3 linked regions of the Callithrix jacchus genome follow. The protein of the gene in region 1 binds, or shares a complex with, the protein of each later gene. Links are inferred from orthologs where the notes say so. Each region holds a gene or a part of one and is shown in the gene's direction. Other genes may lie near its edges.

Evidence for each region. The genes of interacting proteins can lie anywhere in the genome.
Region 2: the proteins of GIGYF1 (region 1) and EIF4E2 are in contact, whole or in part, in a crystal structure (PDB 5NVK), measured with the Homo sapiens proteins. The link is inferred for Callithrix jacchus from reciprocal best matches to the Homo sapiens genes GIGYF1 and EIF4E2. Residues at the interface, in NP_001362694.1 of Homo sapiens: Leu36, Ala37, Asp38, Tyr39, Arg40, Tyr41, Gly42, Arg43, Met46, Leu47, Leu49, Tyr50, Glu53, Asn54, Lys55, Val56, Pro57, Glu59, Leu60, Glu64, Phe65, Ala67, Val68, Leu69, Gln70, Asp71, Glu72, Pro73, Leu74, Gln75; in NP_004837.1 of Homo sapiens: His54, Pro55, Leu56, Gln57, Tyr64, Lys83, Gln84, Ile85, Gly86, Val91, Glu92, Trp95, Arg96, Phe97, Tyr98, Ser99, His100, Met101, Val102, Arg103, Leu107, Phe113, Ile137, Arg138, Leu139, Arg140, Gly142, Leu143, Ser145, Arg146.
Region 3: the proteins of GIGYF1 (region 1) and TNRC6C are in contact, whole or in part, in a crystal structure (PDB 7RUQ), measured with the Homo sapiens proteins. The link is inferred for Callithrix jacchus from reciprocal best matches to the Homo sapiens genes GIGYF1 and TNRC6C. Residues at the interface, in NP_001362694.1 of Homo sapiens: Tyr479, Asp481, Pro482, Gln487, Phe490, Trp498, Tyr503, Phe504, Leu508; in NP_001136112.2 of Homo sapiens: Arg1719, Pro1720, Pro1721, Pro1722, Gly1723, Leu1724, Thr1725.

Annotation. Positions count from the first base shown.
Region 1 is NC_133503.1:13,041,777-13,045,845, forward strand, and holds part of GIGYF1 (GRB10-interacting GYF protein 1), read left to right. Parts: intron 1-62; coding exon 63-174; intron 175-272; coding exon 273-381; intron 382-613; coding exon 614-654; intron 655-841; coding exon 842-1,012; intron 1,013-1,240; coding exon 1,241-1,494; intron 1,495-1,590; coding exon 1,591-1,702; intron 1,703-2,322; coding exon 2,323-2,460; intron 2,461-2,657; coding exon 2,658-2,755; intron 2,756-2,894; coding exon 2,895-3,066; intron 3,067-3,172; coding exon 3,173-3,339; intron 3,340-3,426; coding exon 3,427-3,557; intron 3,558-3,635; coding exon 3,636-3,758; intron 3,759-3,853; coding exon 3,854-3,954; intron 3,955-4,069. UniProt on the Homo sapiens protein: May act cooperatively with GRB10 to regulate tyrosine kinase receptor signaling. May increase IGF1 receptor phosphorylation under IGF1 stimulation as well as phosphorylation of IRS1 and SHC1.
Region 2 is NC_133507.1:153,938,408-153,942,476, forward strand, and holds part of EIF4E2 (eukaryotic translation initiation factor 4E type 2), read left to right. Parts: intron 1-2,556; coding exon 2,557-2,661; intron 2,662-4,069. UniProt on the Homo sapiens protein: Recognizes and binds the 7-methylguanosine-containing mRNA cap during an early step in the initiation. Acts as a repressor of translation initiation.
Region 3 is NC_133506.1:133,834,840-133,838,908, forward strand, and holds part of TNRC6C (trinucleotide repeat-containing gene 6C protein), read left to right. Parts: intron 1-3,072; coding exon 3,073-4,069. UniProt on the Homo sapiens protein: Plays a role in RNA-mediated gene silencing by micro-RNAs (miRNAs). Required for miRNA-dependent translational repression of complementary mRNAs by argonaute family proteins.

The DNA of each region.
Region 1 (4,069 bases):
GGGGTGGGAGAGGGGGTGGTGGGGTGTCTGGGTCCTCATTCCCGCCTCGGCTCCCTCCTCAGAGAAACTTCTCCCTGTCAGTGAACAGCGTGGCTGTGCTGAGGCTGATGGGGAAAGGGGCTGGGCCCCCCCTGGCTGGCACCTCCCGAGGCAGGGGCAGTACTCGGAGCCGAGGTAAAGGGGTGATGGTGTGTCCTGGGGGCGGGGAGATCCGGGCCCCCGGCTTCGAGGGTGTGCAGCAGGTTTCAACGTGTGTCTCACTCTTTCTCTAGGCCGTGGCCGCGGTGACAGCTGTTTTTACCAAAGAAGCATCGAAGAAGGTGATGGGACCTTTGGACGAAGCCCCCGGGAGATCCAGCGCAGCCAGAGCTGGGATGACAGGTGGGGCCAGGAGGGGGTTCGGTGCAGAGCAGGGCAGGCCATGGAGGGTTAACAGAGGCCACCAGATAAGCCCTGTCAGAGATCCCTCTGCTCCTGAGGACTCCTGATTTCCTATGTTCTCCCTCCTTCCCTCCCTCTGCTGCCTCAGGGCACAATGGACAAGGCGCACAGTGGTTGTGCAGGGTTGGGGGGAGGCTGTACTGTTTTTGACCCACACTTTTCCCTGCTGCAGAGGCGAGAGGCGCTTTGAGAAGTCAGCAAGGAGGGATGGAGGTATGAGGCTGCTGAGGGAAGCGGCCAGGGCAGGAGGGATGACCAAGATGGGTGGCCCAGTCGGGAGGGGTTTATTTCGGGAGGTGCTGGGGCAGGAGGGCCTGGAGCTGGCCCCCCATGTTTCCTAAGGGTCTTCCAGGCACTGCACTGTCTTTCTGATAACTGCTTCTCTCTCCCCGTTCTCCAGCACGATGTGGGTTTGAGGAGGGAGGGTCTGGCCCAAGGAAGGAGCATGCCCGCTCAGACAGCGAGAACTGGCGCTCCCTACGGGAGGAGCAGGAGGAGGAGGAGGAGGGCAGCTGGAGACTCGGGGCAGGGCCCCGGCGAGATGGTGACCGCTGGCGCTCCGCCAGCCCTGGTAAGCTTGGGGCCCGGTGGCTTTGGTGGGGGCTTTGGGGGCCAGGAACTGTCATGAAAGGGTGGACTCCTGTGGGGAGCGAGATAGGGAGCAAAGGCTGGCTGGTGTGGAGTGGCCTGGAGAGCAGTCCTGGAGGTTCGGGTAGTTCCTGGGACACCTGGTGAGCTGCAGGAGAGGGGCCGCCGGCTTCACTCGGGTACCCACTCTCCTCCAACTTTTCCTGCGCAGATGGTGGTCCCCGCTCTGCTGGCTGGCGGGAACATGGGGAACGGAGGCGCAAGTTTGAATTTGATTTGCGAGGGGATCGAGGAGGTTGTGGTGAAGAGGAGGGGCGGGGAGGGGGAGGCAGCTCTCACCTGCGGCGGTGCCGAGCGACCGACGGCTTTGAGGAGGACAAGGATGGGCTCCCAGAGTGGTGCCTGGATGATGAGGATGAAGAAATGGGCACCTTTGATGCCTCTGGGGCCTTCTTGCCTCTCAAGGTATCTGTGAAGAGCCGAGGGTGGGAACCGGCCCTTTGGGGTCCTCTTCCTCCCTGCCCACCCAGCTGTTCTCTGACCCCTCCCTACCCCATGCAGAAAGGCCCCAAGGAGCCCATTCCTGAGGAGCAGGAGCTAGACTTCCAGGGACTGGAGGAGGAGGAGGAGGAGCAGCCTTCCGAAGGCCTAGAAGAGGAAGGGTCTGAGGCGGGTGAGCCTTCAGGGCGGCCGTCGGGCCTGGGGCTGGGCTGGGCTAGGTGGGCATATGGGTTCTTTGCTAGGTTGGGCGCTGGCTGCCCACCTACCTTACCTGTAGGACCAGGCCAGGCTGCTTCGAATCGGAAGAAGAGTGCTGAGAGGTGGAGAGGAAGCAGGGGAGAGCAGAGCCCTGCCTTCAAGGCAGTGTGCCAGATAAAAATCAGGCATAATCAAAATGACCTTTGAACGTCCCTTGAAGGCCAGGCGTGAACGTTCACGCCTGTAATCCCAGCACCTTGGGAGGCTGAGGCGGGCGGATCACCTGAGGTCAGGAGTTCCGAGACCAGCCTGACCAATATGGTGAAACCCCAACTCTTGAAAAAGCTGTAGAACTTTGGGTGAGGTCTGCAGTGCTGTATGGTGTTGTGTGGCGTTGTGGTGTGTTCTGCCACATCTGGCAGCATAGAGGCGAGGGTCAGGGCACCGCATTCCCATTCCGCTACTGGTTGACTCCAGTGAAGTAGACTCGGCCAGGGGGCTGTGACTCTGTTCGAGCCACACTCGAGGGCTTGTGCTAACTCGTGTGGCAGGCCCAGCCCTTGTTTCTGAATTCTGGTCATCTCCATCTTCTAGGTGGGAAAGAGCTGACCTCACTGCCTCCTCAGGAGGAGAAGCCCAATTCCCCGTCCCCACTGCCCACCTTGGGCCCACTCTGGGGGACAAACGGGGATGGGGATGAAGCTGTGGAGAAAGACCCCACAGCGGCCGATGGTAGGAAGGGAGGATGGCTTACCTCCCGGGTACCCTGGGGCTGCACGAGAAGGCACTCCCCTCCCATGGGGGTAGGAACACAGGGCATTTACGTCAAGGAGCCATGGCAAGAGCATGGTGTTCTGGAGTAAGGGTGGGTGGGGGCTGTCTTGTCTCCTCCTGCCTTCCCTTCCACCTCCTGTTTTCACACCTTCCAGATGATATTCGGGGAATCCAGCTGAGTCCTGGGGTGGGCTCCCCTACTGGCCCACCCGGAGATCTGGAGGATGATGAAGGCTTGAAGCACCTGCAGCAGGTGTGGGGCTGAGAAAGCTGGAGGGACCCTTCCCACTGCTCCTGACCTTCCAAACTGCCTGGCTCTAGCTCCTTCTCTTCCCCATCCTGATCTTGCTGAGATTGGCAGCTGAACCTTGCTTCTCTTCCTGGGTTTCCAGGAGGCGGAGAAGCTGGTGGCCTCCCTGCAGGACAGCTCCTTGGAGGAGGAGCAGTTCACGGCTGCCATGCAGACCCAGGGCCTGCGCCACTCTGCAGCTGCCACTGCCCTCCCGCTCAGCCACGGAGCTGCCCGGAAGTGGTTCTACAAGGACCCGCAGGGCGAGATCCAAGGTACCTGTGTGGGGCAGGAGGACTGCTCAGGGCCGTTCTGGTTCAGGGTGTCTCTGGTGTACCCCTTAACCCCAGTGGTTCTCCCGATCCCTCGATCTCTGTCCAGGCCCCTTCACAACACAGGAGATGGCAGAGTGGTTCCAGGCCGGCTACTTCTCCATGTCGCTGCTGGTGAAGCGGGGCTGTGATGAGGGCTTCCAGCCACTGGGCGAGGTGATCAAAATGTGGGGCCGCGTGCCCTTCGCCCCAGGGCCCTCGCCACCCCCACTGCTGGTGAGCCACTTCTCCGCTGCATGAAGGGATGGGGTGTGGTGGGGGGGCGGACAGGAGCCCAGCGGAGCCCCCTCCTCCGTGCCTCAGGCACTGGCTCAGCTGTCGCCTGAGCAGGGCAACATGGACCAGGAGCGGCTGAAGAAGCAGCAGCAGGAGCTGGCCGCGGCGGCCTTATACCAGCAGCTGCAGCACCAGCAGTTTCTCCAGCTGGTCAGCAGGTATGGGGGCCCGGGGTGGGCTGGGGGAGGGCCAGGCACAGGCTCTGTGGCCCATCACCCCCGCTGTCCTGTTGGCAGCCGCCAGCTCCCGCAGTGCACGCTCCGGGAAAAGGCAGCTCTGGGGGACCTGACGCCACCGCAGCAGCAGCAACAGCAGCAGCAGCTCACGGCATTCCTGCAGCAGGCACTCAAACCCCCCAGGTGCGTGGCCATGCAAACTCAGGATACAGGGCAGGGGGGCGGGGGCGGAGCAGAAATAGATGTGGGGTCCTGAGCATCCATGATTTGCCCCTCAGAGGCGGGGACCAGAACCTGCTCCCGACGATAAGCCGGTCCTTGTCGGTGCCGGATTCGGGCCGCCTCTGGGACATACATACCTCAGCCTCATCACAGTCAGGTGTGTGGCCTGCCTGGCCCCCGACTCCCAGGCAGTCTCTGGGTGAACTGGGGCCCATGGTCTGCTCCCCACCCTCACACGCGGCCGTAGCTGACATCCTGGCTGGGGAGGCCAC
Region 2 (4,069 bases), on another chromosome or scaffold:
TTTGAGGAATACTGCCTTGGAAGATACAGGTTTACTACTGATTTTAAAGATTTTGGTCAGGCCTGGTGGCTCATGCCTATAATGCCAGCACTTTGTGAGGCCAAGGAGGATCGCTTGAAGTCAGGAGTTCAAAACTAGCCTGGGCAACGTAGTGAGATCTTGTCTCAAAAAAAAAAGGTGGGTTGCAATTTTATTTCCCTTTTGTGAAAAAGCATATATGAATACCTGGCTTATACAAGGAGGGTTTTTCTTTTCTTTCCTTTTGACATATATGTTAAGGAGTGGTTTATCATCAGGACTGTCTTGGGTTAAGGCTTCATCACTGCTCACTGGATGTGTGACAGTATTTAAAGTCTGTCATTTTGACTCTGTAGGTCTGGATCTGAAAAATAGAAATACAGTCTGTCATGTAATTCAGACCTCATTAGGAAATGGCTCACGATGTTAAATTCATCACAAAGAAATAATTACATGATGAATCCTTTTATTGAATTCAAAGCAGCGTTTCCCAGTGATTCTTAGCCTAATAATTAACAACATTTAAAAGTTACTAAAGTCAGCATGATTAGGAAGGTATCATCTTGAAATGGAAAGAGCACTGGACTTGGTCATCAGAGCTAACCTCTTCTGGTGCTTGACTGTCTGGGTTACAGCAACTCTTGTAACTGTTTTCTCAACTATAAAATAAGTAAAGTTGTTGAGATTATTTCTGAGGTCCTTTCTACACCTCATATTCTGAGTCTGAATGCTTATTTTTTGGTTTCAGTTAGAACTATCCAAATAAATCTTTTAAAGTTTAATAATACTTCTTAGGCCAGGCATAGTCCCAGAACCTTGGGAGGCCAAAGAGGGAGGATCACTTGAATCCAGGACTTCAAGACCAGCTGGGCAACAGGTTAAACTTCATCTCTACCAAAAAAAAGTAAAAAATTAGCTGGGCATGGTGGTGTCCACTTGTCTCGGCTACTCGGGAGGCTGAGGCCAGAGGATTGCTTGAGCCTTGGAGGTAGTGGTATAGTTGTAAGATTGGAGGAGACTAAAGTGTTGAAGTGATTGTTGACTGGGGAATTGGAAATGGTTGGTATACTTTCTCCTTTCCACGCCCCTTTCAGTTCCTTATTCACAGTGAGCCACTAGTGGGTGTACTTGGTTCTAGTGGAGAGATGTGGTTTTTCTGCAACTATGTTAGGGTGGATAATGGTTTAGATTATTGCTGATTGTATTCATATGACCAGTTGCTATCCCAAATCACTACATGCAGTTAAGCTTAGCAGTTGCTGAGATATGAAGCACTGCTTTGAAGTCCTATAGTTTCTGACTTCTATTTAACATGTAAGATGTGTCACATATTCTTGTGCTAGAGAGGAACTAAAGGGACAGCCATTTCACACAGTGTAAGGTTGATTTCTCCTTGGGTGCTCCTCAGATCTAGAAGTATGACCTGAATCTTGTCTACTCAATACCCATTGTCAGCTCCACAATTATGGTATCTTGCTATATGTTGATATCGAGCTCCTCAGCAGGTTGGCAAATACTAGCTATTTCTCATCAGACTGCACCATGTTTTCTCTTTCCTCTTAAAGTGTACCTCTTCACTGGCCAGTACTTAGTAGGTATCCTCTGTGAATAAGGAAGTTATTTCTCCTATCAAAACACTAATGAGCCTGTAGTCCCAGCTACTCGGGAGGCTGAGATAGGAGTATCACTTGAGATCAGGAGTTAGAGGCTGTAATAAGCTATGATCATACTGCTGTATAGACCCTGTATCTTAAAAAAAAAAAGAGTGGGGGGGGATGACACTAATAAGCAAAACGGGACTACTGTGATGAATACAAATAAGCATATACTTGATAGGAAAATATAAATCTAGCTTTCTCACAGGATTGTGAAGGAGAGGCAAGGAGAAACCTTTTTCTAGCTAAGAAGAAGGCCTTAAACTCTAGCTATAAGAAGCTAAGTCCTGTGTGATTTTGGATTGGCCCGGTCTTAGCGTGATGTGGAGTGGTATGTGTGGTATACGTGCTTGATTCTGTCACTTATGCTTAGTAACTAACAGCTCTAAGAGATATTTCACTCAGCAAATGCTGTGTTGCCAGTTAAACAATCTTTGATCAGTAAGTGATTTGGTTCTAAAAAATGCATTCCTGCTGAGGCTGTGTGGCACTTAATATACCTCAAGGCTAAAGAGTTTCCATTGTGCAAAAAGCTGTCTTCTTACTGCACGTGATGACTACCCCGCAGCTTCAGTGGGAAAGTGCATATTGACATGGTTTCACCAGCTGAAGGTCCTGGCTGAGCCTAGCATTTCTCACCAAAGATTTTATTCTTGTATTGCCAATGTTACATGTTTTCTTTTGTCAAACTAGTTGGTAGGCTTTTCCTCTAACATGTCTTCCCTCAGAATGCCACAAATGAGAATGAGTCCTCTGAAAAGGACAGCCTGTAGTATAGTGTCTTCCATGCTTATGTTCTTAACTTAATCTCAGTCTCTGGATGCATTCAAAGAAAAAGAAAAGACACCAACACCTTTTTTACTCTGGGGTCTTGTCTCTGCAGGTGGAGCAGTTCTGGAGGTTTTATAGCCACATGGTACGTCCTGGAGACCTGACAGGCCACAGTGACTTCCATCTCTTCAAGGAAGGAATTAAACCCATGTGGGAGGTAAGGACTAATGGCCTCTGATTGCTTTTTTGAGCAGGTTTGGGTTTTTTTGTTTTGTGTCTTAGCCCTCCCAAGGTTAAAAGTATTTTAAAGTTTTCTCTCAAAACTGCATCACTATCTGGTATATCCTTGGAACTTGAGCCTCTAGAGAAATACACTGATGCTATTTTTTGTCTGTGTGGGTTGATGCTGGGTGTTTTTTAAAGATGGTTTTATGACTAAAATGGTATTAGAACATTAAAGGATTTTTTTTTTCAGTTACTCTTATCTTTATAGAACTTGTTTGTATGTGTGTGCAATTTTTTTTGTCTGTTCGTTTGAGACAGGGTTTCGATCTTGTTATTACCCAGGGCTGGAGTGTAATAGCACGATCTTGGCTCCCTGCAACCTCCACCTCCTGGGTTCAAGCTATTCTCCTGCCTCAGCCTCCCAAGTAGCTAGGACTACAGGCACGTGCCACCACTCCTAGCTAGTTTTTTGTATTTTTCATAGAGATGAGTTTGAGCCACTGCGCCCGGCAGTGTGTGCAATATTTTTATGTTGTACACATATGATTAAAGTGGGTCAGAAAATAAGCTTAAAGGTAGTAACTGGAGACCTAGAACTGTTTGCAGAGCCAGTATTCAGTTGCGCCCTGGTGTAATGCATCTTCTATTCTGATGTCATGTCATTTTTCTAGAAGACAAATGTGGTCACATCCACACCGCCCATCTTATACAGCTCCTCATTGCTCACATGATCTTGCACCTAATTTACCTTTTTCTTTTTTTTTTGAGATGGAATCTCACTCTGTCACCCAGGCTAGAATGCAGTGATGTGATCTTGGCTCATTGCAACCGCTGTCTTCCGGGTTCAAGTGATTCTTCTGCCTCAGCCTCCCAAGTAGCTGGGACTACAGGCACATGTCACCACACCCAGCTAATTTTTGTATTTTTAGTAAAGACTGGGTTTCACCATGTTGGCCAGGATGGTCTCCATCTCTTGAGCTCATGATCTGCCTGCTTCAGCCTCTCAAAGTGCTGGGATTACAGGGGTGAGCCACCATGCCTGTCCTCTAATTTACCTTTCAAGCCTCATCTCCCACCATCTCTAAATCTTCCCTTCTCTGCAGGCGAACCCTTCTGTTTGCATTCCACAACTCACAATCAGTTTGTGCACAAACATGTTCCTCCCAGTGCCTGCAGTGCCCTTCACCTGCGTTTCCTGACTCACTCCTGGTGCCCTTAAGGCCCACTTCTTGGTGGGGTGTGGTGGCTTACACCTGTAATCCCAACACTTCGGGAAGTCAGGGTGGGGGGATCACCTGAAGTCAGGAGTTCGAGACCAGCCTGGCCAACATGGTGAAACCCTGTCTCTACTAAAAATACAAAAATTAATCGATATATTTGTGCACGCCTGTTATCCCAGC
Region 3 (4,069 bases), on another chromosome or scaffold:
TGACTATTGTTTCATGTATGTTAATGGCTATATGAGTTTTCTCTTTTCTAAATTGCCTATTCCTATCATTTTCCCATTTCTGGTTGGGTTGTTGGCCTTTTTCTTACTGATTTTTAGGATTTTTTTTTTTTCATTTGAGATGGAGTCTCTGTCACCCAGGCTGGAGTGCAGTGGAGCGATCTCAGCTCACTGCAACCTCTAGCTCCCAGATTCAAGTGATTCTCCTGCCTCAGCCTCCTGAGTAGCTGGGGTTACAGGCATGCACCACCACACCCAGTTAATTTTTGTATTTTTAGTTGAGACGGGGTTTCACCATGTCAGCCAGGCTGGTCTCGAACTCCTGACCTCCAGAAAGCCACCCCTCGGCCTCCCAAAGTGCTGGGATTACAGTAAGGTGAGAGCCACAGTGCCCAGCCAGGAATTCTTTAATCTGATAACCATACATTATCTGTTCCCTGCCTGTGGTCTGTGTATCTTCTCCCTGCCTGTGGCCTGTGGCTTGGTTTTTTAGTTTCCATTATGTGATATCTTTTGTTATATAGATGTTTTTAATGTTAGCATAGTTGAATTTATCACCTGTTTATGTCTTATGTATTTCATGTCTTCTATAAGAAGATACAGTGTCCAAGATCATAGAGATGGTCTTCTATATTTCCTTCATAAGCTTTAAGAAGTTTCGCTTTTCCTAATTAGATCTTTATCTAGAATGTGTTTTTGTATATTATATAAGGGATCTACTTTCATTTCATGTGGCTAGACTGTTGTCCCACAGCATTTATTAGCCACCAGCTTGTAATGCTCTGCTTCTCTCAAACCTGTCATTATAACTGAGTGTGAACCTGTCAAACTGGGGGCTGAGCAACCCTCAAGTCCTCAAAGCAGACCGTGAACAAAGGGCAGATTCTTTCACAATGTGACTATTGTGGAATGGAACCAACAGTACTGTGTATTCAAATGGCACCTCACTTATGGAAAAGAATACATTGGTCAGGCAGGTTGTTAACCTCCTGCTTTCTGGGTTGCAGTGAGTGCTGTCCTAGTCTGGAGGCAGTCCGCTTTATGGCACAACCAAACAGATGGTAAAATGAAATGTGGCAATATTTGCTGGCAACAAGCCATAATCTTAGTATGTTAACTTCGTCTTATTTTCTATGTTAAATGAGGAATGGCTCATTTATCTCTTTAGTTAGTTATTGTATTAGTTTTTAGAGTATGTTTGAAACCAGATTGTCATAAACCAGGGTTATAGAGCCAACCCCTAATATTTGGCAGTGAGAAGAACTTAGTGGTTTTCTAACAGTTTCAATACTTAAAGTTTTCTGTTGCCTGGGCACAGTAGCTCACGCCTGTAATCCCAGCTGGGAGGCCGGTGCAGGCAGATCACCTGAGCTCAGGAGTTCCAGACCAGCCTGCCTAACATGGTGAAACCCTGTCTCTACTAAAAATACAAAAAATTAACCAGGTGTGGTGGCATACACCTGTAATCTCAGCTACTCTGGAGGCTGAGGCAGGAGAATCTCTTGAACCCAGGAGGTAGAGGTTGTAGTGAGCAGAGATTAGGCCACTGCACCCCAGCCCAGGCAACAGAGCAAGACTCTGTCTCAAAAAAAAAAAAAAAAATGCTGTTGCCTGTCTTCATTTTCCTTTGTAGTTTTCACCTGGAATTTTGTACCTACCTTGGAATCACCTAGACCATCATTCCATAATCATTACATTGCTCTTAAATCAGGCAATAAAAATCTCTCTTATGTCGATATTAGCTTTAGTATGGTCTTTCTAATGATAATGATAATTTTTTACATGTATACTCTTTTTCCTTTAGCTCTATCAAACTTTAAAAGAGAATTTATTTGGCAAATTCATGTTCTAACTGTCCATAATATTTTTCTTGTTAAAATAAATTTGAAGAGAACCTAATTTAAAAGATTCTAAAAGATAAGAAAATGTTTTATTGCAATTTAATTGTATATTGTAGTATTTAAAGAAACTCACCTGAGATTTCTAAATTATATATGTGAGTTGTTTGTTTGGGTTAAATTTTTTTAACATTTCTTTTACTTTATTTCTGATTGATAGATACTTTAAAAGTCTGCCGAAAAGTTGATTGGAATATAAGTTTAATTGCAATGTTGGAAGTACTCAAATAATTATTAAAGTCATAGGAAATAATATGCAGATCCCAAACAGTGGATTCTTTAAAAGGACCCAAAGAGTTATATAAATACTATAAGAAGATAGCATATAAAGTTATTCTAGGAATCTCCAAAGAAAAGGCTCTAAAGAAATAGAAAACAAGGATAGATGGAATCCTTGGAGACCCAAAAGATACCACCTATAGGGCTGAGATTCTTTTTCTTTCTTCTTTTTTCTTTTTTTTTAGCCATGTCCTTGAGTTGCAGATTTTTTTAATTAATGCACAGGAGACAACAATAAACTAAATTGTAGATAAGATCAGATAAAGTAGCATAAATCTAATTAAACATTTCTAATCCTTAGTATTCTTGATAAACATAAGAGAGCATTGTCTCATATGTCTTGTCTCCCTTTCCTTCCGTCACCTCTTCCCCCACCCCAAATATTGGTTCTGTTATGATTTCTGCAAGGCAATTTACAGTTTGTTTCTGCTGAAAGCCATGTTCTTCCTCTATATAATACTGTAATTAGAGGTCTTAAAGAGAACTACAAGTTCTGTTCAAAACTCCATATGAACTTACTGTCATTGCCAGTGTGTCGCAGTCTCTGTTTACAGGAGTTTCAAAGTCACGTGTCTTTCAGAGCTGCCTTTCCTACAGATGCTTTCAGAGATCCTTATGTGCTAATGTGCATTGTGAGTATTCTCCAAGGGGAATAATAGTATGGTGTAGTGGTCGGAATTGATACAATTTTAGAAACATTAACGCTTTTTTAAAATGGAAGAAGCTATTTAGCTTTTTTCTTTAAGTCGTTTTTTTAGTGTTTGTCATTCAGATTTGAAGACTTGAAATAAAGAGCTTCCCCAAAGACTAGTTAACAGTTGATTCATTGACAAATGGGTAGAAAATCTAATTTTGAATTTTGTTTCATCTTTTTCAGATCTCAGTCATAGTGGATTGGCAGATCATTATGAAAATTCCCACTGGGGACAGCAGCCTACTTACAGAAGTGAAGCCAACTGCAGCTGGGATAAAGTGATAATAGATAGGACTGACAAGGAGGCGTGGCCTTCCATCACAGGAACAGAGACTGAATCTGCCTCAGAATGTACTACAGACACTGACTCTGCCTCCAACTGTGGCTCAGAGAACAGTAGCATGGCTACAGGGAGTGCCCAGGGCAACTTCACTGGACATACCAAGAAGACAAATGGCAATAATGGCACCAATGGCGCACTCGTCCAAAGCCCTTCTAATCAGAGTGCCCTTGGAGCAGGAGGAGCGAACAGTAATGGAAGTGCAGCCAGAGTGTGGGGTGTAGCCACAGGCTCCAGCTCTGGCCTGGCTCACTGCTCTATCAGTGGTGGGGATGGAAAAATGGACACCATGATTGGAGATGGGAGAAGTCAGAATTGCTGGGGTGCTTCCAACTCCAATGCTGGCATTAATCTTAACCTTAATCCTAATGCCAACCCAGCTGCCTGGCCTGTACTTGGACATGAAGGAACCGTGGCAACAGGCAGCCCTTCCAGTATTTGCAGTCCAGTCAGTGCCATAGGTCAAAATATGGGCAACCAGAACGGGAACCCGACAGGCACTTTAGGTGCTTGGGGAAATTTGCTGCCGCAAGAGAGCACAGAACCACAAACGTCCACTTCTCAGAATGTGTCTTTCAGCGTACAACCTCAGAACCTTAACACTGATGGACCAAATAACACTAACCCCATGAACTCTTCACCCAACCCTATCAATGCAATGCAGACAAATGGACTGCCAAACTGGGGCATGGCTGTTGGTATGGGGGCCATCATCCCACCCCACCTGCAAGGCCTTCCTGGTGCTAATGGATCATCAGTTTCTCAAGTCAGTGGGGGCAGTGCTGAAGGAATAAGCAATTCCGTGTGGGGATTGTCCCCAGGTAACCCTGCCACAGGAAA